Rhinolophus ferrumequinum: one gene and its partners. The protein of the gene in region 1 purifies or fractionates together with the protein of each later gene. This does not show direct contact. Links are inferred from orthologs where the notes say so. Each region holds a gene or a part of one and is shown in the gene's direction. Other genes may lie near its edges.

The links. The genes of interacting proteins can lie anywhere in the genome.
Region 2: the proteins of HDAC1 (region 1) and TNRC18 purify together in Homo sapiens (co-immunoprecipitation; 4 studies listed by BioGRID and IntAct, counting the BioPlex papers as one, with this or other methods). This does not show direct contact. The link is inferred for Rhinolophus ferrumequinum from reciprocal best matches to the Homo sapiens genes HDAC1 and TNRC18.
Region 3: the proteins of HDAC1 (region 1) and core histone macro-H2A.1 purify together in Homo sapiens (affinity purification with western blotting; 3 studies listed by BioGRID, with this or other methods). This does not show direct contact. The link is inferred for Rhinolophus ferrumequinum from reciprocal best matches to the Homo sapiens genes HDAC1 and MACROH2A1.

What each region holds. Positions count from the first base shown.
Region 1 is NC_046292.1:22,159,002-22,165,954, forward strand, and holds the start of HDAC1 (histone deacetylase 1), read left to right. Parts: upstream 1-3,930; 5' UTR 3,931-4,038; coding exon 4,039-4,087; intron 4,088-6,953. Other genes in the region: tyrosine-protein kinase Lck, read left to right, coding at 1-62. UniProt on the Homo sapiens protein: Histone deacetylase that catalyzes the deacetylation of lysine residues on the N-terminal part of the core histones (H2A, H2B, H3 and H4).
Region 2 is NC_046307.1:41,656,006-41,664,086, forward strand, and holds the start of TNRC18 (trinucleotide repeat-containing gene 18 protein), read left to right. Parts: upstream 1-5,031; 5' UTR 5,032-5,405; intron 5,406-6,542; exon of another isoform or gene 6,543-6,957; intron 6,958-7,288; 5' UTR 7,289-7,508; coding exon 7,509-7,695; intron 7,696-8,081.
Region 3 is NC_046307.1:11,097,129-11,104,402, reverse strand, and holds the start of core histone macro-H2A.1, read left to right. Parts: upstream 1-4,224; 5' UTR 4,225-4,333; intron 4,334-4,933; exon of another isoform or gene 4,934-5,036; intron 5,037-7,274. UniProt on the Homo sapiens protein: Variant histone H2A which replaces conventional H2A in a subset of nucleosomes where it represses transcription. Nucleosomes wrap and compact DNA into chromatin, limiting DNA accessibility to the cellular machineries which require DNA as a template.

The sequences.
Region 1 (6,953 bases):
TGCGCAGTGTGCTGGAGGACTTCTTCACAGCCACGGAGGGCCAGTACCAGCCCCAGCCCTAAGAGGCCTAGCTGGCTGGGACGTGGAGCCCTCCCCGCATCTAGCCAACCTGGCTGGGGAAGAAGCAGTTCTTGTGCCGTTCCCATGTGGCCTATGCACATATGGACCCTGCACGTGAATCCTATCTACATGTGACACATCCACTTGTGTCTTATACACAGGTTCTTGAGTTGTGTGGGCTCTGCACATGTGCCTTGTGTATGTGTGGCCTGTACATATATGTCTTGGACACCTGTCCAAGCTATCCCTCTCTGGGCCCTCCTACTTCCTGAGACCACTAAAGGAGAGAGGCCTGTGATTGACACCAGCTTCTGCCCACCCCTTTTGCCTTTCTCCTGGTCCTAAAGAATCTCTCTCCTGGAGGGGGAGACCTTTCTAATACCTCTGTGTGCTCCTCCTTGGTGCCTGTCACACATCAGGAGCTCAATAAATGTCTGTTTGTTGATAAAGGTTTTACATCTCTCTGCTCCCCACTCCTATCTCTTCTTCCTTGGGAGGGGAGAGTGGGGGTTCAGAAGATGATAACCCTGAATTGCGGTGAACCATGGGATGAGGGGATGTCTGAACTTTTTCCAGCTCTGCTGACGCTGGGGGCCAAAAGGAGGTCCCGACTCTTTGCTGTACGGGCTCTTTGAAACCCTTTAAATCCCCACCCCAAAGGCTTCAGGGCGACTCCTACCTAGAACCTCCTAGTATATATCCCAGGACCCTCTCCCTCCTATTACATAAGAGCAATAGCAATTTTTTGCGTGGGAGGGAAGGGGAACAGGACTTTATTGGGGAACAGTGTGTACTTCCAGGACTTTTTTTTTTTCCCAAGTCAAGTTGTTGTCCTTTCAATCTTAGCTGTGGAGGGTGCCGTTCAGCTTCAAGTTGTTGTCCTTTCAGTCTTCGTTGTGGAGGACGCAGCTCAGCTCCAGGTCCAGTTGCCGTTGCTAGTTGCAGGGGGCGCAGCCCACCATCCCTTAAGTGTCAAACTGGCAACCTTGTGGTTGAGAGGATGCGCTCTGACCAACTGAGCCCTCCGGGAGCTCAGCGGCAGCTCAGCTCAAGGTGCCGTGTTCAATCTTAGTTGCAGGGGGCGGAGCCCACCATCCCTTACGGGACTTGAGGAATTGAACTGGCAACCTTGTGGTTGAGAGCCCACTGGCCCATGCGGGAATTGAACAGGCAGCCTTCCGAGTTAGGAGCATGGAGCTCTAACCGCCTGAGCCACTGGGCCGGCCCTAGCATTTTTTTACATGCTAATGATTCAAGGGCTATATTTGGCTTCAGATGTGTTTTGATTCACTTTCAAGATGTTTTTAAACATCGAGTTAATTCACTCATTTAACAAATATTTATTCAACATCTACTGTATGCCAGGCACAGTTCTGGGCTCAGGATATACAGTAGATAAAACAGTTTCTGCCTTTGTGGAGCGTACATTCTAGCAAGGGAAGACAGACAATAAGCATCACAAAGATGTGAATGATACGGTATGCTACAAGGTAATGAGTGCTAAGAGGAAAATAGAGTTGGGTAAGGGGAATTAGGAATGTCATGTTTGGGGAGGTTAACATTTTTAAAGACAATGGTCTGAGAAGCCCTCATTGAGAAGGTGACTGAGCAAAGATTTGAAGGAAGTGAGTGAGTGAGCCTCCTGGTGTGGGGGAGGAGTGGTGGGGCAGAGGAAACAGCCTGAGGAAGAAGCTTCCCTGGCCAGCTCTAGAAGTAAAGGCTGCTTGAAGGAGGGCGATAGATCCTCTGGGGCTTTGTGGCCTTTGTAGGAGACATATTGAGGAGGCTTTACTAGGATTTGTGCAGAGCCATGACATGATCTGACTTACATTTTAAAGGATGGCTCTTACTGTTATGTTGATAATAGACTGAATTAGCAGTCAATTTATAAAACTAGATAGATTTTGCATAAATCTCCAGATTTCTGTATCTCTTGAAAAACCAGGAAGGTTTGGCTCCCTTGCACTTATCTGTCCTAGAGCTGAGTAGTGATCACCCCGTTTGGATGGGGTATGGGCTCTCCTTTTGCCAGAATACTCTCCACTCTCTCTTGCTCCCAGACAATGAAACTATTAGCAGCTATTTATCATCATGTTCATGTTCTTCTTCTTACAATATAGAGGAAAATGAAATTTTTTTGGCACCCACATTTCCATTAAAAAGTGAGAAAATTGAAGATACCTGAAGATGGCAGTGTGTTTGTGGAAAGATGGGGGAAAGTGAAAAGGAATTCAATTGAAGAGAGTGAAAAAGAATTCAATTAAAAAATATGCAAACAAAGCGCCTGAATCAAACTAATATAAACAATGTAAATATAATATATATCCAGTCATTTACATCACCTGCCTGATCTCTGTTGGCATTTGAGTGTGTGATGTCCTGCATTTTATAAAATGCTGCCACACCCACAACCTCCTTTGGAAACTGTGCAGCCATAGAGTCTGTCAACTTGTTTTCTTATCCTCTCCATTTTACAAAGAGGGAAATGGAGGCCCAGAAAGTTTCCTAGCTAGGAAGCAGCAACACAAAATTGGGAATAGAGTTTATTCCCTGGCCTTTTGTTATTTCTTTAATAGAACTGCCCAGTATTAGATCTCTTATTACCTTCATTATTAATGGCCCAATACAATTCCCAACTGAGGAACCCAATTGTCCAAGCACTCTTTAAATGTAAAGAAGCATATTGTATATTATTGACTATAGGACCATGAGTGAGTAACTTACTTGGCCCATAGTAAGCACTCACTAAATATTAGTGTTATTTTAATGGCCCATCACAGTGTTTTTCAGCCTTTCAGCTTTCAATACTGACCAGTTGATGACTGATCTAGTGCAGTGGTCTCAAGTGTAGGGTGAGGGGCAATTTATACTTCCTCTAACCCCTCCCCTCCTTGCCCTGGAGACTTGCAATGTCTGGAGACAATTTTGGTTGTCACATCTTGGGGTGAGGGTGCCAGTGGCATCTAACGAGTAGAGGCCAAGAATGCGGTTAAACATCCTATGGTGCACAGGACAGTCCCCTACAATAAATAATTATCCAGCCCAAAATGTTAATAGTTCCAATAGCTAGAGAAACCCTGCTCCAGGTTCAGGGGACCATCAGTTTTCTCCTAGCTAAAAGCACTCCTCAGTCCTCTTGGGCATCTGCATCAGGGAGGTAGGCTTGGAGAAAGAGACTAGGTTCTGCCACGTTGTTACAGTGTCCCTGATGTATAATAGGCATTCAAAATATATGTACAATTGAAAATTGAATTTAGAGGAAAAACTAATAAAAAACAAGAAAAAGAAAACAATTGAATTTAATTACTAATTGTGTGAGTCTGAGCAAGTCACAAAGGTCTCAACTTCAATATCTTTATCTATAAAATGGGGATAAAAAGGCCTCCTCCAAAACTGTTGTGAGGAATAATTGAGATAATCTGCACAGTACTTGGCCCACAGCACTTTTATTTCGTTTGTCAGTTTAATTCTCTTTCCTCCAAATCTGAGTTATAATCCACGTTCAGCCCTTTCACTAGCTGAGTGACCTTGTGCAAGTCACTTCCCCCCTGTAGACCTCAGTGGATTCTGTGTAAAATTGTACAAAGTTGGCCCCTTATCTCCAAGCACGCCTCCAACACCGAAATGGGACTGTGAAGTTTACAGACCTGCTTTCTTCCCCCGGGACTAATGGTACGGTCCCCGGGCAGCTCCCCCACCCCCCTGTCGCGGACCTTGGTACAGGCCCAGGGGGCCCTGGGCTGCCTCTCCGGGCTCCTCCGGGCTGCCCTTGCCCCCTGCCGAGTTCCGGGCCGTCCCTGCGTAAGCTGATTGGCTGGAGCGGTGCCCGGGCTGCGCGGCTATAGGTGAGCCCGGGAGGGGACGGGCGGGGCGGGCTGGAGGCCCGCCCCCTCCCCCCTGGGTCGGACGCTGAGCAGAGCTGCGGGCGGGAGGCCGGACGGACCGACGGACGGACGGGAGGGACGGGAGGCGAGCAAGATGGCGCAGACTCAGGGCACCAAGAGGAAAGTCTGTTACTACTACGACGGTGAGCACCGTCCTCGCAGCGGGGGCGGGGCCTGGCCGGGCCGGATCCGGGAGCGGGAGGCTGGGAGAGACAGGCGTTGGGGCAAGGCTGAGAGAGGAGGCTGAGAGGAAGACGAGGCTGAGAGAGGAGGCTGAAGGGAAAGGAGGTCCGGGCTGAGGGAGGAGGTTGGGAGGAAGGAGGCCGAGACTGAGGGAGGAGGCTCAGGATGGAAGTCTGGGCTGAGGAATGAGGTCGGGACAGAGGAAGGAGGTCGAGACTGAGGGAAGAGGCTCAGAGGAAAGGAGATCAAGGCTGAGGAAGGAAGCTGAGAGAAGGAGGTCGGACCTGAGGGAAGAGGCTCAGAGGAATGGAAAGGAGGTCGAGACTGAGGGAAGAGGCTGAGGTCTCCCGAGAGAGTCGCCTGAGGTGATCTTGGTGGGGAATTCGGAAGACGTCTGATGAGGAGACTTTGAGGGGACTCCTGGAGGGGAGGCTGAGGCCAAGGGCCGGAGGCAGAATCCGAGGGAGGGGTGCAAGGGTATGTGTTCCTGCTGAGTGTACAAAGGCTTTTCACTGCCCCTTTCCTTCCTCATCCTTTTTGGGGAGAGTCCTTCAGGAATCACCAACTAATCGGCACCACTGCCCCTCCCCCAGCCCCTGAGCAGGGCCTGCAGTTGCTGCTGGGCAAGGGGGTCCCTCGGGTTGGAAGCTAAAGGATGCGAGCTGTTAAAACAGACTTTTTCATGTCACCACACTCTCTGGAGACCTCATTCTGCACTAGGTAGCATTGAGCTGCTGGTGGCCATGGAGTTGATCGAGTCACTTCCCATCTTCAGCTCCGTCTGGAGAGGAAGATAGACAGTGACAGAGAACTGCTCTCTGTTATCTTGCTGGGATAAAGGAACTTTCAGAGTGTTACCGGGGCACAGGAGAAGAGGCACCCAGCCCAGTGTGAGGAGTCAGGGAAGGAGGTGCCATCTCAGTTGGGATCTGAAGAACAGGGGTTATTAGCCTGGCACAGGGCAGGCAAAGATGACAGCAGTTTAGAGGGGAGAGAGGGGACAGCTGCTTTGAAGAGCATCAGGGATGTGTCCATAGGGCCGAAGCGCAGATTTGAGGGCAGAGTGTAGAAGTGAGGGAACAGGGGTGAGGGAAAGGTTGCTGGTGATGAGGCTGGAGAAGGCATTAGGGACTAGGTCACGAAGGGCCGGGCGTACTGTCCTAAGGAAGTTGGACTTTATGCTGAGGGCACTTGTGAATCATAGACGCTTTATGCAGGTTAGTGACATCATCAGATTTCTACCTTAGAACTCTCGCTCTAGGACAGAAATTAAATTCATGAAGGTTGGGGTAAGGAAGAAGGCAAGGATCCCAAGTTTCTGGTTTGGGCAGTTTGATGCCGAGTGGAGGAGATCATGTCCGTTGATAACTTTTTTTTTCTTCAAGAAATACTTGTTGAGATGTCTGGGGGACATCCAACTAGATCGTGTTCAGTAGGCAGTTAGCCGTTCTGGTCTGCAGTTCAGAAGATAGAAATGAGGAGATTTTTGATAGACGTCAGCATACATAGTTGTCAGATGGGAATTTTAGTTACAAAAGAGGATGCCATCACCCAAGAAGTTATACAGGGTGAACGGAAGAGGATCCAGGGTGGAATTCTAAGGAAGTGGAAAAGTCTAATGTCCTTCGTGCTCTGTACTTCCCCGGCCATAGCACTTGTCACTGTGTATTGTAATTACCCATTTACTTTTTTATACTTACAGATGGTAAATGCCTTAGGGAAAGGAACAATGTCTAGTCTACCTCTATATGCTCTTCCCCCAGAACAGTGCTTAACTCATAGTTGGCTCTCAGTAAATGCTTGCTGATTAAATGAATAAAAAGATACAGAGGAATAGCCAGAGATGTAAGTGAACCAGAAAGTGTTGGGTTACAGTAGCCAAAAGAGGGAGGGACAAGTGTTGGCAAGAACTGTTTCCCGTGCTAGGTTTGGAACTGAAGCTAGATTGCTGTAGCGTGAGGAATGAATGGATGGGTGAAGAGGAGACATCAGGCTGGACCCTTTTTAATGAAACTTGTCCAGGGCAGAGAGAGGGTTGCTGATAAAGGAGAGATGTAATGGTTGAGAGTTGAGCATATTCAAATTCTTAGGGAAAATAGCCAGAGAGGAAAGGTTGGAGATACAGGAGAGGGGCTAGTCATGATGGAGGTTCCTAAAAAGACCAGGTGAGATGGACACCAGAGCACAGGTAGGGACACTAGCCTTCAAGAGGAAGTTCCTTCTTGGTGAGAAGGTAAGTGGCAAGAAAAAGTTCAAATGTAGGTAAGTTTGGTGGGGAGAGTCGAGGGAGTTTTCAAGATGAAGTTGGGGAATATTCCTTTTCCTGAGGGCAGTTGGTAGAGCAGGAATCTTGAAGAGAGTTAGCTGTTAAATAGCTGTTGTGAAAGAAGGTGCTAGGAAAATAAATTTGGAAGGATTGCTGGGCAGTAGTGAAGACACGTTTGAGGCTGGATCCTTTGACTTTGTAACCGTATCAGTTTGCACAGTTTTGTGACCTCTACATTCTCAGTTTAAAAAGAAGAAAAGAAGGGACCCAGTGTTCAGAGAAGGGAGACTTCTTACTTTTTTTTTTTTAATAATTTCTATATATATAATTTTATTGGGGAATATTGGGGAGCAGTGTGTTTCTCCAGGGCCCATCAGCTCCAAGTCATTGTCCTTCAATCTAGTGGTGGAGGGTGCAGCTCAGCTCCAAGTCCAGTTGTCGTTTCCAGTCTTTAGTTGCCCGGGGCGCAGCCCATCATCCATCCCATGGGGGAATTGAACCGGCAACCCTGCTGTTCAGAGTTTGCGCTCTAACCAGCTGAGCCATCTGGCCGCAGACTT
Region 2 (8,081 bases), on another chromosome or scaffold:
CCCGCCTCTCTGGCAAAGAAACAATGCTGGTGACATTAAGCGTTATTATTGCAAATGCACCCTCTCTGGGCCCCCCTTTACTGTTCGGGTAGAAAGACTACCTCCCCTACTAAGCTGCTACCATCGCCCGACCGATTCCTGCTTCCCCGATAGTTCGGCTATTTGCACCAAAGCGGGAGGCCAACGAGGGCACCAATTCCGGGCCGGGTGGAGAAAAGACCGGGGTATCCCCGGCATGGAGGGGAAGATGGGCTGGCGCAGACTGGGGAACCCGATGAGCCCTGGCCTCCAGGCACAGCACTCGCAAACAACCTGCTTGGTCCTCGCTCTGGAAAAAAAAAAAAGCCCCCTTTCCCGCATCCTGCGCCCGCAGAAGGCTCCAAGGGCAGAAGGACGACTCGGGATTAAAGCAGGGTCTACGAAGAGGGGTGGCAGGCTGAGTTCTAAATGCCATTCGGACGCTGACTCTGGCGTCGCCCCTAGATGTTGCGGGTGGCTTCGACCCCATCCCACCCTCACCGAGCCTTCCTTGGATTACGTGCCGAGCCGGCGCGCCCTGACCCCAGGCGGCGATCCGGTGAGGCCCGGACCGCCTCTGGGTCCAGCGACTGCGGGGATGGATGTGGTGGCACCGAGAAGTCGAGGCGGTTCCCTCTCTTTGGCGAAGGGGGAAGCTCCTGGCTTGACACCTCGTGGTCTCTGGACTCCCGAGGCCGTGACTAGGAGATCAGGGAGCCCAGCGAGGCCTGGGACGCAAGGCCAGCCGAGAGCCCTCGCGCCTGAGCTGCGAGGAGGGCCGGCGAGGAGATTTATGGCCACAGCCGGCCCCCTGCGCACTGAGCGCGTCTCCGTCCTCTACCAGCCAAACAGTGGAGTGGAAGACCCGACCCGGGCCGGGGAAGAAGCCAGGGCCGGAGGCGGAGCCGACAGGCACCCGGACCCGCCGGGGTCCGGCTTGGAGCTTCAGCTCCAGCTCTGCCAGCTGTGCGCCTTGGTCCCGACGGCGTGCGGGGCTCTGGCGCCGCGTCCTTGGTCTTTCTGGTGGGTCGGGGTTGCTCTCGGCTGCGTTGGCCGAACCTTGGCTTAGCACCGAATCCTGGCTGGGCCAGTCCCAGCACGGGGATGGCGAGCTTGACTTTCCCAGGCGCAGCCTCTCCAGGTTTTAGCGGCGCCCGGGCCGGGCGCTCCCTGGTTGCGGGACCTGGGACCTGGACACTGGCGCTTAAAAGACCCGGCCAGAGCTTCATGAGCGAGCAGCAGAGGCCGGCGAATGCTCGGTACCTGGGCTAAGAGTCTGGTGGAGTGCGGGGACTTCGGTCTCCACCGGGGAAAAGGCGGCTCGGGGGGACGGGTGGAAATGGCTCAAGTGTCCGTGCCTAGTAAAGGGTGCGGTTTTTTTGGGGGTGAGAAGGAGTAAGGGAAAATCGTGTCCATGGGCCAGCAACCCCAGGGTTCCAGGAAGCGCCGGGTTTGTCCCTGAATAGAGGGGCTGAGCCGGCTGGACAAAGGCACAGCCGGGGAGAACTGGACTCAAGATTGTTCTGTCCTTTGGTTTTAAAACGAAGGGGAAGAATTTTGTCAGTCTGGCCGTTACGGAGCCGGAACCGGCGACCTGGGAACATACAAAAGGCCTCGGCTCTGGAGGCCCAGGCTGTCCACCGACAACAGCACTGGCCTGGGCGGGTTCTCCGCGAACTGCGGTTTGAGGTTTCGAGGTCCTCCCTCCAGCCGATTTTCCGCCCAGTCAGTACAAAACACACACACACACTCACACACACTCATTCTGCGTCAACACTTTTTGGCCGGGGCTCCCACTGGGTAGACAGAAGTATGTGGGGGGAGGGGACGGAAGATGGCGGCTGGACTGCGCGGCTGTCACCCGCTCCCCTCTGGGCGCCCAGGCCTGGTTTTTACATTTCAGTGTGACCCACCAGAGGAGTGAAGACACCTCCCCAGAGCCCGAAGACGGGCAAGGGATGCGCAGAGTCCCCTACGAGTGGCGAGGGTCTCTGAAGGAGCCCGGCCGGGCTGCGCCTACCACTCGGCTTGGGATCCGTCCTCCGCCCTAAGATGGCTCCCAGCCGCTGTTTACCCAGCGACTGCGGGGCCACCAGGGCGCGGGGCCGGTGAGGGGACAAAGATCAGGGCGGCCGGCTCCTCGGCGTGGCCTGCTAGTGTCCCGACGCATACAGCAGCTCGGAGAACCGGCGCGGCCAGGGTCTGTCCTGTCGTCCCGCCCTGTGGCCAGGAACCGGGAGCCACCGCCTCCGCGTCCCCAAGCCCTGCGTTCCGGGTGCGGGTGTGTGTGCAGGGAGGGCGGCGCGAGGGGGTTGGGGCCCACAAAGGCCGGGGGGCGGTTGGCCGGGGGAGAGGGGAGTCTCGCCTGCACCGAACTGCGGCCCTAATGAAATGCAGGCTCGGTTCGCCACGCCGACGAAGCGCACATTTGGAAATGCTAACGCCATTGGCAAATCCAGGGCAAACAGGCAGAATTTTTATTAGCAACTAAATGATTTATGGCACACATACCCCGCCGTCACAATTACGGCGTCTTGGAGCATCCAGGGGTGAAAACATTAAACATTTATAAAAATAGGCTTTTGTTATTTTCCACCCTGCAAGCCCTTTGTATTCCCCACCCTAGCTTTCTCAAGATAGTTTTTTTTTCCTTGAGCTATATTAAAATAAAGAAAAACATTCCAGATCTAGGGCGGGGATAACGGGGTGGGGGATCAGGGTCTGGCTCCGAATATTGAAGGGCAACGGGGCGGGGGAAGCGAAGGGGGCCCGGGCGTGGGAGGGTTTACTAGGAATCCACAAAGGCCTCTGGATAAGACTCGAGGACGCTCGGCGCCCACCGGGGCTGCGCCCCCACGCACAGCCCCTTCCCTTGCGGTGGCCTCCAGCAACCCAGCGCAGCTCAACTGCGTTTATTTTTTTCTTTAGTCACCCCCTCCCCCAAGGCACACAGGCACAATACCTTTTTCTAACCCCCCTCTCCTCTCCGTCTTTGCTCCTGGCTGTCCCGGGCTGCCACGGGAGCCTCCCGCCGCCCTGGCCGCCACTGAGACTTGAGCGCCCTGCTGCAAGCATGGACACCGCCGCTAGTGCCCTTCGGATCCGGCTATTTTCGTTCCTTTCTTTCCTTCTCACTCCTCCCTCCTCCCGCAGCGGATCTCCAGCTTCCAAAAGAGGGCAGCCTAGAAACCAACGCAGGAGGCTTCTGCAAGGGCAACTTGAAACTGCCCTCAAGAGGCTGAACTTTTTTCCTCAAATTTATACTGGAATTAGACACCCCAGTTCGCTCTCCAAGCCTACCCCCTTTTTTTTCTAAAAGTGGATAAAAGAAAATAGAACGAATGGGCGCTAACTAGCTCATTTTTAATCCCTCCAGAAAAGTTGCCTTAAAAAATGGGTTTAAAAAAATACAGCTATGCGAAAACGCTGAGTCCGCAGCGCAGGGCGAAAGAGCCGGCTCCTCTTGTTTTAATTAAAATCCAGTCACCGCGGTGGCTTCGAGGCAGGATCGGCAAGGATTTTTGCCCTTCCAAGCTTCCTTTTGAGTGTACGTAATGCCCAGCTGGGCATAGGTCCCTGCGGGGCTGCGAAGAGAAGGTGCGGGGGCCGCCAGGGCGGCCCCTTCGACTGCGTCCGCACTTCTTGCGCCCGCAGCCAAGTACGTTGCCGCAGGCAGCTCCCAGCGACTCAACCCAGAAAGGATTTTGCTGAAAGCGCAAAATAAAAGTACGAAGTCTGGGGGATTGAGTCTTCCCTCCCCCTCCGGCCACCACGGCCAGCCAAGCACTTTTTGGGCTTGGCTGCTGCTTCCTCTGAGCTCAACAGATTTTTTTCCCCGGGTCTCGTCCTCCCTGGAGGGGGGCGCCGCGGATGGAAGGCGAGAGAGGCCCCCAGCCAAGAGGTTTTTAATATTACACTTTAATAGGTTTCAGAAGGCCCCGTGGAGAAATGCTAATAGGCTGAAATGTCAGAATCGAGAGGGAATCAGTTCGCGCTCAGCCGATCTAATCCTTTTTTCTGCTTTCTTTGGGGAGGGGGGAAGGGGTGAGGTGCGCCCACGCCAAGAGAGGCTTTGGGGAGGAGCGCGCGGTGCAAAGCGCCGCAGCTCCGGTCGGGGCTGAGCGGGGGGCGCGCCCCGACCCGCGTTTCTATAGGAACCCCTTTTAGAAGATTAGAGACTCACCCGCTGCCCGCCGCCGCGGCCTCTCCAAAATATTAATCAGTAACCACCTGACACCGCATTTCAGGGAGGGACCTGCAGGCCGGGGCTAGGAAAACGGCCTTCTCGCCTGCCCATCCCACCCAACCGCGCTGCTGGGGGAGAGGGAATGAATCGCTGCTTTGTTTTGAAGGCGGGTTGAGGGGGGAGGAAAAAGCAGCCCTTGTCTGTTTTGGAGTCGCCACCGCGCGTTCTAGAAGGCGCGCCCCAGGGGAGGTTGGGGGCCGGGGCCAGGCGCGGGGTGCAGCCCCCGGGGCCCCAAGCTCTTCTCGGCTCGCTCGGCTTGTCACCTTCTCCTGCGAGCAGGAAGCTGACAGGCAGCCTATTAAACCGCGCCTTGCAAAGCCCTGGATTGCGGCGACAACCATCTTCCTCTATTTTGATCACTCAGCCCAGACGCTGGGAGGGAGGGGAGGAAAAGGGAGGAGAAGGAGGAAGGGGGGGGTCTGAGCTGGTGGAGGGGGAGGGCTGCCTAGAAACGGCCCGGAAAAATTCTCACCACCAGTTTTGATCATTCAGCCCCGCCGAGGGGAGCCTGGAAACTGCTGGAGCCCCTTGGTCCGTAATTGGTTTTATAGGAATGGCTGAGGGCCAAGGTGTTTACATGAGCGGGATTGGCGGCGCGCGCGGCCAATGGGTGGCAGCTGGAGGCCGGCCTCGGGGGGAGGCGGGCACCCGGGAACAATGCGTGTTTCTTCGGCGGAGAGTGTTCCCCTCCCCCAGTCACCCCCTCCCCCCCGCTGGTTTTTTTTTTTTTTTTTTTTTTTTTTTTTTAGATCCAACGAGAGGAACTTGAAAGGGGGGTTGTGTAATGTACCTTTTCCAATCCCGGGCTGTATATGGAGATTTGGGATTCTTTAAACCGGCGCTACCTGGATTTTATTAAAAAGCGGGGAGCTCGGCGGGAGGAAAGCTGGCTTTTCCGGGGGCTGCGGGAACCCGGCAGCGGGAGGGCGGAGGAGTTGGCGCGCCGAGCCCTCGGCCCGGGGAGCGGTTTTCTACCAAAAAAAGGAAAGGCGGGCAAAAAGTGTGAGGAGGCTGCGGGTGGCGAAGGGGAGCAGCGGCCGCGGGATGGCGGGCTGCAAGGGCGCCTAGCCGCGCCGGGAGCCGGGGCCGCCACCGGAGTCACCGTCGCCGGAGCCCGGAGCAGGGAGTCCCGCCGCGCCAGGTACGCCGCCGGGTCGCCCGCCCGCCCCTGGCCAGGCGCGATGGTCTCCAAACTTCTCCAGCTGCCCCCCCAACCTGCCTCCCACTCGGGGTGCTCCGGGGGATCCCCGCAGCTTTCCAGCCCCCGAGAATGGAATGGGGACAAGGGCCGGCGAGGTGGGGGCGCCCTGGGAAGGGTGGGGGCGAGCCGCTGCGCCCGGAGCACCCACCTGAGCCCCAGCCCCTCTACAACCTGCCCAGCCTGGCCGAGGGGCGTCGGTTCCCTTCTCGGTTCCCGGCACGCGGCGGGGGAGCCAGGGACGCCTAAACGCTTTCGATTATAGGCTGTTTTTAATTAAAAGCCGGAATTCAGCCATTTTAACTGCATTTAAAAGGGAGAAAAAAGTAGGGAGAACGCAGCGGAGCCCGCAGATGGCTGAGCTTGCTTCTCTACCAGAGCGAGGGTTTTCCGGGGGGCTTCACCCCGACTTCTCCAAAGTGGGGCGCCGGGGCATGCCCTGAAGCGCTGGCTTTTAGAAAAGCTACACAAAGAACATTTTTTTAAAAATCACGGAAAGCTCATCGCCTTCTTAAGACATGTATCCTCGGATGTGGCGATCTTAGATTTTTCTAAAGTAAACGCGGATCTGGTAACCAGAGATTGATGGGAAGGAGGGAGAGAAGGGAGGAGGAGGTGGTTGTAACCAAAACCGGGTTAAAATGAGCACCTTTAACAAAGTTGTGGAGGGAGGCTGGAAAAGGAGGCCGGGGGGTTGGCGGTCGAGGGGTCTGCACCTCGCGGCGCGGGACGCAGGGCGGCACCCGGGAGCCGGTGGCTTTGGCGTGATCCGCGGCTCTCGGAGCGCTCCGGTTCCGGCATCAGGAATACAAGCTGCTGTGGGCAGACGGAGAGCGAGGGCAGGGTTGGCTCCAAGACCCTCTCCCGCCCCCACGGGAATCGGCCAACACAAATCTTTTAAACAAACAGCTTTAAACTGGAACTACAGGGGGATTTTCCCAGTGCTGGGGGAGGCGCCCCTCGGTCGGCCCGCGCGGTTCGAGGATTTTCTTTGTAGGTTATTTTGGGGGTTGGGGGAAGCTAGGGTAGGAGCGAGACCCTTGAGCCCTTTCCTTCCCTTCTGACGCCCCTCAAATACCCGCGCCAGGCTACGTCTCGGGCCGTAGGATTCCCAGGCCAGGGCGTTGGAAAATGAAACCAAAGCTTGTTGGGAAGGATTCGTTTCAGTCCTCGGGCGAGAATGCCACGTCTCGGGTCCTCGACTCGGACTCCGATTCAGCGACTCACAGTGGCCTGAGGGGGTGGGGGGCGGCAAGTCTCTTTAAAAATAGTAAAGCCGCTTTGCACCCTTTCTCACGAAAAAACCATGAGTTGGGCGGCTCGGGACGAGCTCAGGGAAACCAAACTCAGGCGAGGGCCCCTAAAGATTAAATATTAAACTTTCCGGGTCAGATAGTGACAGTGTTTAGAGAGACATTGCGAACTGCTCTTGGAAAGGTTTCACGGTTTGAAACCCTGGAGCATGTGACGCCCAGGAATCAAACACACTTCGAAGGTTTGTATTTGCGCCGTCCGGGCGCGGCCGAGGGGCCTTCCTCAGTCCGGGGGGACCCGTGAGCCGCCCGTGCAGAGTCCGGGCTGGGGCGCAGCGGGCAACCCGTCACTTTCCGAGCCCCGGCCGGGGAGCCTGAAGCCACCGGAGGAAAGAAAATGGATTTTTACTTTTTATGGAAAATGGGCTATTCCCGATTTCGTTTCTGGCCACCACATCGGCAGCCCCTGACACCGAACGGCAAGACGACTTTCTGAAACTTGTTTTTTTTTCTTCCCCTTTTTCCTTTTCTCCCCTCTGTTTATTCCGCGGCCTTTCTCCTCTCCCCGCCAAGACGCTGTGTGCGCCTCCTCGCTCAGCTCTGCCTGGTCGCCGGGAGGGGCCCCACCTCCGGCCGCCTGTGCGTCCTGGGCCGCGGGCCCGCCGCCGCCATGCACGCCGCGGAGCCCCCGCTACCCGAGGACTCTGGGACTACGCTGAGGCCGAACTTTTAGGTCCCGCTGAACGAGGCCAGCGGGCCGGGTGGGGGGCTGGCCGCGGCACTCCCGCGGAGGATGGATGGCCGAGACTTTGGGCCTCCGCGGTCCGTGCACGGCCCCCCGCCGCCGCTGCTGTCCGGCCTGGCGATGGACAGCCACCGCGTGGGTGCGGCCACGGCCGGACGCCTGCCCGCTTCGGGCTTGCAGGGCCCGCTGCCGCCTGGGAAGTACATGGCCGGCCTCAACCTCCACCCGCACCCGGGTAAGTACTCTGTGCCTTGTCAGCCCCCGCTCCCCCCACCAGATCCAAGGAGGGAGGCCCCGGAAATACATCTGGGTTTGTTCCCCGGCGTTCGCTACGGTGGCGCGGCGCCTCCCTCTCGGCCTGTCCACCGGGGTGCGAGCAGTCTCGGCTCTCGGGGCGGAGAGACCCCTGGGCCCAGGGCAGAGGCCGGTCGGGAGGCGCCCGCGGACAGGGGCGCGCTGCTCCGCTGCCTCCCCTGGCGCGCGGTTTCTTACCAGTCTGCGGAAATTGGAGCCATCTGGGGCGAATGCAACCCCCGAGCCCCTGCGGCTGAAGCTGGGCTGGAGTTTTCAAAATCTGGGCCAGCAACTAGTCCTACATTCTTTGAGACATACACTCCCGGA
Region 3 (7,274 bases), on another chromosome or scaffold:
AAGAAAAAACTGAGAGAATTAGTTGCCAGCAAGTCTATTAATAGAAGCACTAATGGTAGTGTTTTTCTTGGGGCGGGGGGGGGGGCAAAATAAAAATGACCCACATGGAAACAGGTATACAAGGAGAATGAAAAGCACCAGGAAGTGTAAATATATGGGTAAACATGACATAATTGTACCAAATAATTCTAGTAATGTTATGGAGTTTAAAATGTAGAATAGAAGATTCATGAGAATAATACAAAGTTGAGACAGTTAAAAGATTGTAAGTTGAAATATTCTAAGGTCTTGAAATGATTGGGAAGATAAGAAAAGCAATTTCTTAGTTATACGTCAAGGACTCATCTTGTAATGTCTATAGTAATTTGTTACAACAGTAATAGGGAATTAATATAGTATCCACTGATGATTTTTGCTGAAACTAATCTTTACTATGACGGTTATAATGTGCTGATTTTCCAACTCCAGCACTCCCTCTACCTTTAGTAGTTACCATTCAACATTCTTCTAAAGGAAGAGAACTTCTTTCCTCACCTTTATAAATAAATACATACTGGGGGTGCCAAAAAAATGTATGCACATGACTTGTATTCATCTTTTGTTATCGATATATATTGACTATTACAATTTTAAAACCGTTTTTTCCTTTCTTAAAATGTGTATAGATTTTTTTTGGCAACCTCTGTACATCTGCTATGGACTGAATTGTGTCCCCCCCTCACTTCCCAAATACATATTGAAGCCTTTACCCGCAATGAGGTCATAGGATGGGGCCCTAACCCAATAAGATTAGTGTCTTTATAAGAAGAAGAGACACCAGAGCTTATGTTTTCTCTCTCTCTCTCTCTCTCTCTCTCTCTCTCTCTCTCTCTCTCTCTCTCTCTCTCCCTGTCTCTTTACACACACACACACACAGGAAAGGTCATATGAGGACAAATGGCAGTGTGCTCTGAAAGAGAGCTTTCACCATAGACTGAACTGTACCAGAATCTTGATCTTGGACTTTCCAGCCTTTAGGAACTGGGAGAAAATTCTATTATTTAGGTCACCCAGACTATGATATTTTGTTAGGGCAGCTTGAGCAGATTAAGACAGAGACAATAGCTTTATGTGTGTTATATTTTGCCAATATTTCCTTCTAGTTTGTCACTTGGCTTTTGACTTTCTTACGGTGTTTTCTTTTCTATGCAAAAGTTTTGTTTTGTTTTTAATGTAGTCAAGGTAGGAGTATTACAATAATTTTGCAGATAATTTTGGATATTGTTCTCTGATTCTACACCAAGACTCAACAAATGGTAGTTTCTTAAACATTAATAGTTATGTAGAATATTAAAATATATTACTGAACTTTTCATACTGTGACATTAAATCCGTTGGTTTATCTTGAATTTTGAATGGATTTTTAAAAACCTATGCATGATGTTGTAGCATCATACATTAGTGATTTGGAAAATATTGGTTCACTAAATTGTACTATCATATGTATCACTAAGATATATAAAATCTTTCCAAATGTTGACTGATTTTATCACACAACATCAAAAAATCATATTGGTTAAAACTACCACCAATCTCATCAGGAAAGTTTTTAAGTATTGGGAAGCTGTCAAGCTCATGATGGCAGATACAAGCTTTTAAAAAATTTCAAAATCTGCTTCCTTAGGATATTTTTAATTCTTTCCTTTTTTAAAATTGCATTTATTGGGCCGGCCCAGTGGCTCAGGCGGTTGGAGCTCCCTGCTCCTAACTCTGAAGGCTGCCGGTTCGATTCCCACATGGGCCAGTGGGCTCTCAACCACTATGTTGGCAGTTCAATTCCTTGAGTCCCACAAGGGATGGTGGGCAGCGCCCCCTGCAACTAGTAACGGCAACTGGACCTGGAGGCAACTGGACCTGGAGCCGAGCTGCGTCCTCCACAACTAAGACTGAAAGGACAACAACTTGAAGCTGAATGGCACCCTCCACCACTAAGATTGAAAGGACAACAACTTGACTTGGAAAAAAAAATTACATTTACTGTGGTGACAATGGTTAGTAAAATCACATAGATTTCAAGTATATAATTCTATACTACATCATCTGTATATCACATTGTGTGCTCACCACCCAGTCAGTTCTCCTTCCATCACCACATATTCATTTTTAATTCTTAAGCGATACATAAGATAGTATAATTGAGTAAACCAGTATTTTTCAAATCACTAATGTATGATGCTACAACATCATGCGTAGGTTTTAAAACTCTGTTGTGTGTGTGTGTGTTTTGCAGTTTTACCTACCAGTGCATTTTTTTATCATCATTGCAAATGTCAACATAGTGAAAACGGCAAATAAGGCCTTAGTATTATTATTGTGAAAGTAGTTTTGACCCACAGACCCCCATGAAAGGATCTCAGGGACCTCACAGTGGTCTGTGGAACACACTTTGAGTAGTAATTCTCTACGGGTAGCCTAAATCCTTCAAACTGTTACTTTCAGTTCAGCTCCACCTTGGGAGGCGGGGAGGGTGGGGGAGGGATTTAAATTCAGAGATGTCTCTAGGCCTGAAGAGCATAATACAGCCCTCCTTCTCCCAACATACACCCAGGATGGTTTTCCTTGGCTCCTTTGTTATTACTTATTAAGGGTAAATATTCACCTGTACTTCTCCAAGAGAAGCGCATTAACTGTTTAACAAAGACAGGAGGGATTGGGAGTTGTTGAAAAGGAGAGAACGTGTCAGACTTTGCTGCCAATTGCTGATCAAAGAGAGAGAAAGGAAGAGAACTTATCTCTGAAGTGATCAAGTCAGGAAGAAAGGCTCCAACCTGCAGAGATGACGCATGTATCTGTTCCGTGGAAAACAGCACGTCTGTTTGTGGGGCAGATGACGGTGGAGAGAAGTTTACCAGATTCTTTCTTTCCTGGAATCCCCTCACTCCTTCACATATACTCACTCCTCTTAGCTTGATGTGTGTTGATCAAAAACTTAGGAACTAACTGGAGACCCACCCTGCCCTTCCACAAACATGGGCAAGCTAAACTCAGAGACTGGTGACACCCCACTGTTTAACTCTCAGATCATCAAAGGTCTTAGAGAACATTCAGGGTGGGGCAAAGAGGTGCTGAGGAAATGCAGGAATGCTCAGGCCTGCCCTGCCCACTGGCGGTGCTCTGCCTGGACTTCTCTTCTCGGGGAGGGCCCTTTGACTATCTGTGATAAAGCTTTCAAACTTTGATCCAGCAGTTCCACTCCTACGAACTTATCCTCAACAGTCAGATGTGCACAAATGTGTATCTCTAAGGATATTCATCAGGTCTTTATAATAGAGTTGGAAACAGTCTGAAAAAAAAACAACCACAAGAAGAAACTGGTAAAATATACAGTGGTATGTATATTTAACAGGATACTTGGAACAGTGGTTCCAAAATGAGGTCTGCAGACCCTTGAAGGTCACTGAGACCCTTTCCTGGGATCCACAAGGTCCAAGTTTTTCATAATAATGCTAAGACATTATTTAGCTTTTTCATTGTCTTGATCTTTGCACCAATGGTGCAAAAACAATAATGGGCAAAACTGCTGGTGAATTGGCACAGATCAGCTCTGGCACCGAACTCTACTCATAATCATTTTATTCTTTATTGCCAAGCACTCAGAGAAAAAAAAATCCGAATAGTTTCACTTAAGAATGTCCTTGATGAAGCAGTAGAAAGTATTAATTTTTTTTGAAACTCCACCCCACTGCCTCATCTTCATTACCCAAATTTGTGCATGGCCCAAAGTATGACTTTACTACTCAACTGAATTAATGAATCCATAAATGGCTTGTATTGGTCTCCGCTTTGCAAACTTTTCAAGTCGGGTGTAAAGCATGCTAAAGGGAGGTTACCACCGGTGCTCTAGGGGGCAGCCTGAGGGCTAGGAGGGATCTTTGAGCAGCGGTACCTTGAACCTCACAACAACTCTGCAGGGTGTATATTGTTATCTAAATTTGGTCCACAGCTAGGTGCTCAGGTAGCTTCCCCTCTACACTTAGGGAGAGGGGAGAAGTGGTTAAGTCCCCTATTTAAGTACCCGGGATGGGGCACTAACGCCTTCGGGAGAGAAACCAATCCAGGAACTCAGAGATGATCTTTACAGCGGCCCTCCTCTTTCTGCTTGTCTGCAGTTTTAAAACCTGAGTGTGATAAGGAATCACTGTTTACATTAGTGACTCTCAACGGTTCTATCGTGAACGTTTCCTGAATCGAAGTAACTAACGGCTTCCGTGTGCAAAGCAAGTCCAGACTTCTGGGGGTCACGATGCAGAACCAGGGCAGTGGAAGTGCAATAGTTGATGATGGGGAAGAAAAGGTTTGCTGGAGGCTTGTATCTACAGACAGCGGGGGGCTCTGAGGTGCGCGGGAGGTCTGCATTGGTTAGGGAGGGAAAAGTGCTTGCTGGTAACAGCAGTTGTGTCTCCCTCCCTGGGTTAATAGGATGGCTTCTAGGGATGAGTCCCATGCTGAGGGCCAGGCACACAGTAGGCGTTCCAATAAGTGTCACTCGAAACACACAGGCTGAGACGCGCGCTGGATGCCGCTCTGCCGGGGCACCTCTGCTCAGGGCGCGCCCGGGGATCGGGTGGACCCTGCATCCGGCGTCCAGCATCAGGGCCCGAATGCCTGAGCGCAGAGGGCCGGACCCATGCAGCTGGGGGACAGACCGACCAGCGTCCAAGTTGCAGAGCGCCGAAGGCTCGGGAGCGATCAGCCGCGGGGTTGGGGTCAAGGCCGGGACGGCGCGGGAGGGGGGGACGGACGCGGAGGGACGGGATGGGATGTGACGAGCGGCGCGCTGTGCATTATGGGAATCCCGGGGCCGCGGCGACTGGTTCCAGTTCACTCGGCAGCGGAGCCGGGCGGAGGGGGCGAGCGCGGGGCGCGCGGGCGGGAAGCGAGGAGGCGGGCGGGCGGGCGGGCGGGCGGGCCAGCGAGGAGCGCGGAGAGAAAAGGCGCGAGCGGCCAAGAGGGCACAGGCCGGACACCTTGCTGCTGCCGCCGCCGCTGAGCCGCCTGTAAGTGCCGCGCGGACCCCCTCGCCACGCGCCCCGTCCCCGCCGTCCGGGTCCGGCCGCCGCGCTCTTCCGGCTGCGGGTGCCTGCGAGCGGCCGGGCCTGGCGCTCACCTCGGGCCGCCGGGCTCGGCGCGGCCCACGGCAGAGCCTCGCGCACACGGCGCCCTCCCAGGCCCTGCCTGTGCCGTGCGGGATTCCCTTTGGTTTTGTTCAAAAAGCAAACCCGGAAGCCAACTTCTCACAACCGCGTCCTCCTGCCCGGGCGCTTTTGTGGGAAGGAGACAGTTGGGGCCCCTCCCTGGGCGACCCTGCCCCGGGTGGACGGGCCGACGGCTGGGCCTGGGGCCGGAGGAGGCCCCGCGGCACTGGCTGGCCGGCCAGGGCCCGGGCGCCCGGGTGCGGTTGTGCGCGGAGTTGGACTTGGTGAAGCCACGCCAGCCCAGCCCGCGAGTTGCCCCGCACAATAAGTCGGGCCCGAGACCCAGGTGGCCGCGGTGTAGGCGCCTGGCTCTGTAGGTGCTGGGAGGGCAGGGTGCTGGGGTGCGGGATACTCGCGGGACTGGAGCCAGGCCGAGGAGGGGTAGGGGTTGTCCAGGGACTGGCTGGAGAGGGGCCACGGGGACCCCTGCCTCTCTAGCTGGGCTCCTGAGCGGCCTTTTGTTTGCTTTGTGGTTGGGAGTTGTGGTTTTTTTAAGGTGACTCCGGAAGACTGCAGGCTTCCCGGGTGGACAAGGCCAGAAGAGACTCGCTGAGGGTGGGGTGGCGTGGGGGTGGCGAGAGGAGTCCGCAGGATGCTGCTGGCCGGGTCACCAGACAACAGGTGTGTGGATGGTGTGCGCCCACCTCCACTCCTGCAGGGACCACAGATCACTCCAGGATCTTGTCAGTAGATTGCTTGGAAGGTTCTTTTAGACGACAAGATGCTAGGGGAAATATTCCCTAACATCTGAAAGTGAGAGGCTTCTGTAGAAATAGCTGAGACAGACCTTGAATTGGGCAGTTAACCATTACCATGAAGTTCTTGTAAGATTTCAATGATTCGATAAAAAGCGTCTAAGAGTAAGACAGTGAGAGGGGCACTCCTGCTAGCTTCTCTTTTTCCTCCACCTTTGTGGTTTGAGGTTTTACATTCAAGAGTGGGGAAGTGCTTTGTTCTAAGGCTCCCTGCTCCAGGGACTCTGGGAATTTTGACCAGCTTTAGGTTTGAGTGGGAGGCCCCAGTTGTAAATTAGATGGCACCTACCTACTGCAGGCCACCTTTAGGGTACTCGGCTGTCAGAGGAGTTATTGGCTCTGAAACGGGACACCTCACGCCTGCAACTGGAATTGATACCCCTTGAGCACAACTAACTACAGTTGGCCAGGAGCATCTCCATCTTGCACAAGAGGCTCTCCGATGAGGAGAAATATGTTTTTAAACCTATTTTCTTTCTTTTTCAAGCCCCCAAGACTTTCAATTCTAACCCCCCTGTAGTTTTAGGAGAGTGAGAAATCTCTCCACTCTGTTTTGTTTTAATCTGTTACCATTGTTAATAGTTGTAAAGTTATTAAGGCGGAGGGAAGAAGTTAAAGTAAGTGAACATTGTTTGAGGCAGGGCCTTTAGAATGAGGAAGGAATAGTTCACATTTTACTAAACTTTGAGAGTTGTCTGGACCATCATATGTGACTGTAATACACCACCAGAAGTCACTGGCTTGGTCTGTACCAAATGGGCCAGGGTCAGGGAGTGGTGCATCTCCGCCTGCCATTTCTTCTCGTCCTGGAGACGGCAGAACTCTGGGAGAGCCCTCATTCTTTCCCCAGAGAGGCTTGGAGTACATGTATTCTAGTATTTGCAGAACTAATGCTGCCCCAAGTCATTTAAAGGAGATTTATTTAAATAAAGAAAAGCACAAACTGAAAACCCCAAGCTGACAAAACCCAACAATAATCTGGATGTTGTGTTCATCAGAACAGCAGCCTGTAGTTCTCTTTTGAGTGTGCCTTTGAACTTCTGTGGGGTTTCTCAGAACCCCATTCTTGGCACATGGGCTGGGGAGGGACAGGAGTAAGGGGGGCTCATACCTGTCCTATGGGTCTTCCCCACGTTCTGTAGGTTTAGAAGTACATCGGGCCCCACCGCAGCTCTTGTGAGTGTGAGCCCGACTGGGTCAGCCCTTCATACCAAAGAGTTGTGTAGATGTTTTGCTTGGTTCAAGCTTGGAGATCAGTGTGCTGCAGTCTTTCAAGAAGTATTTC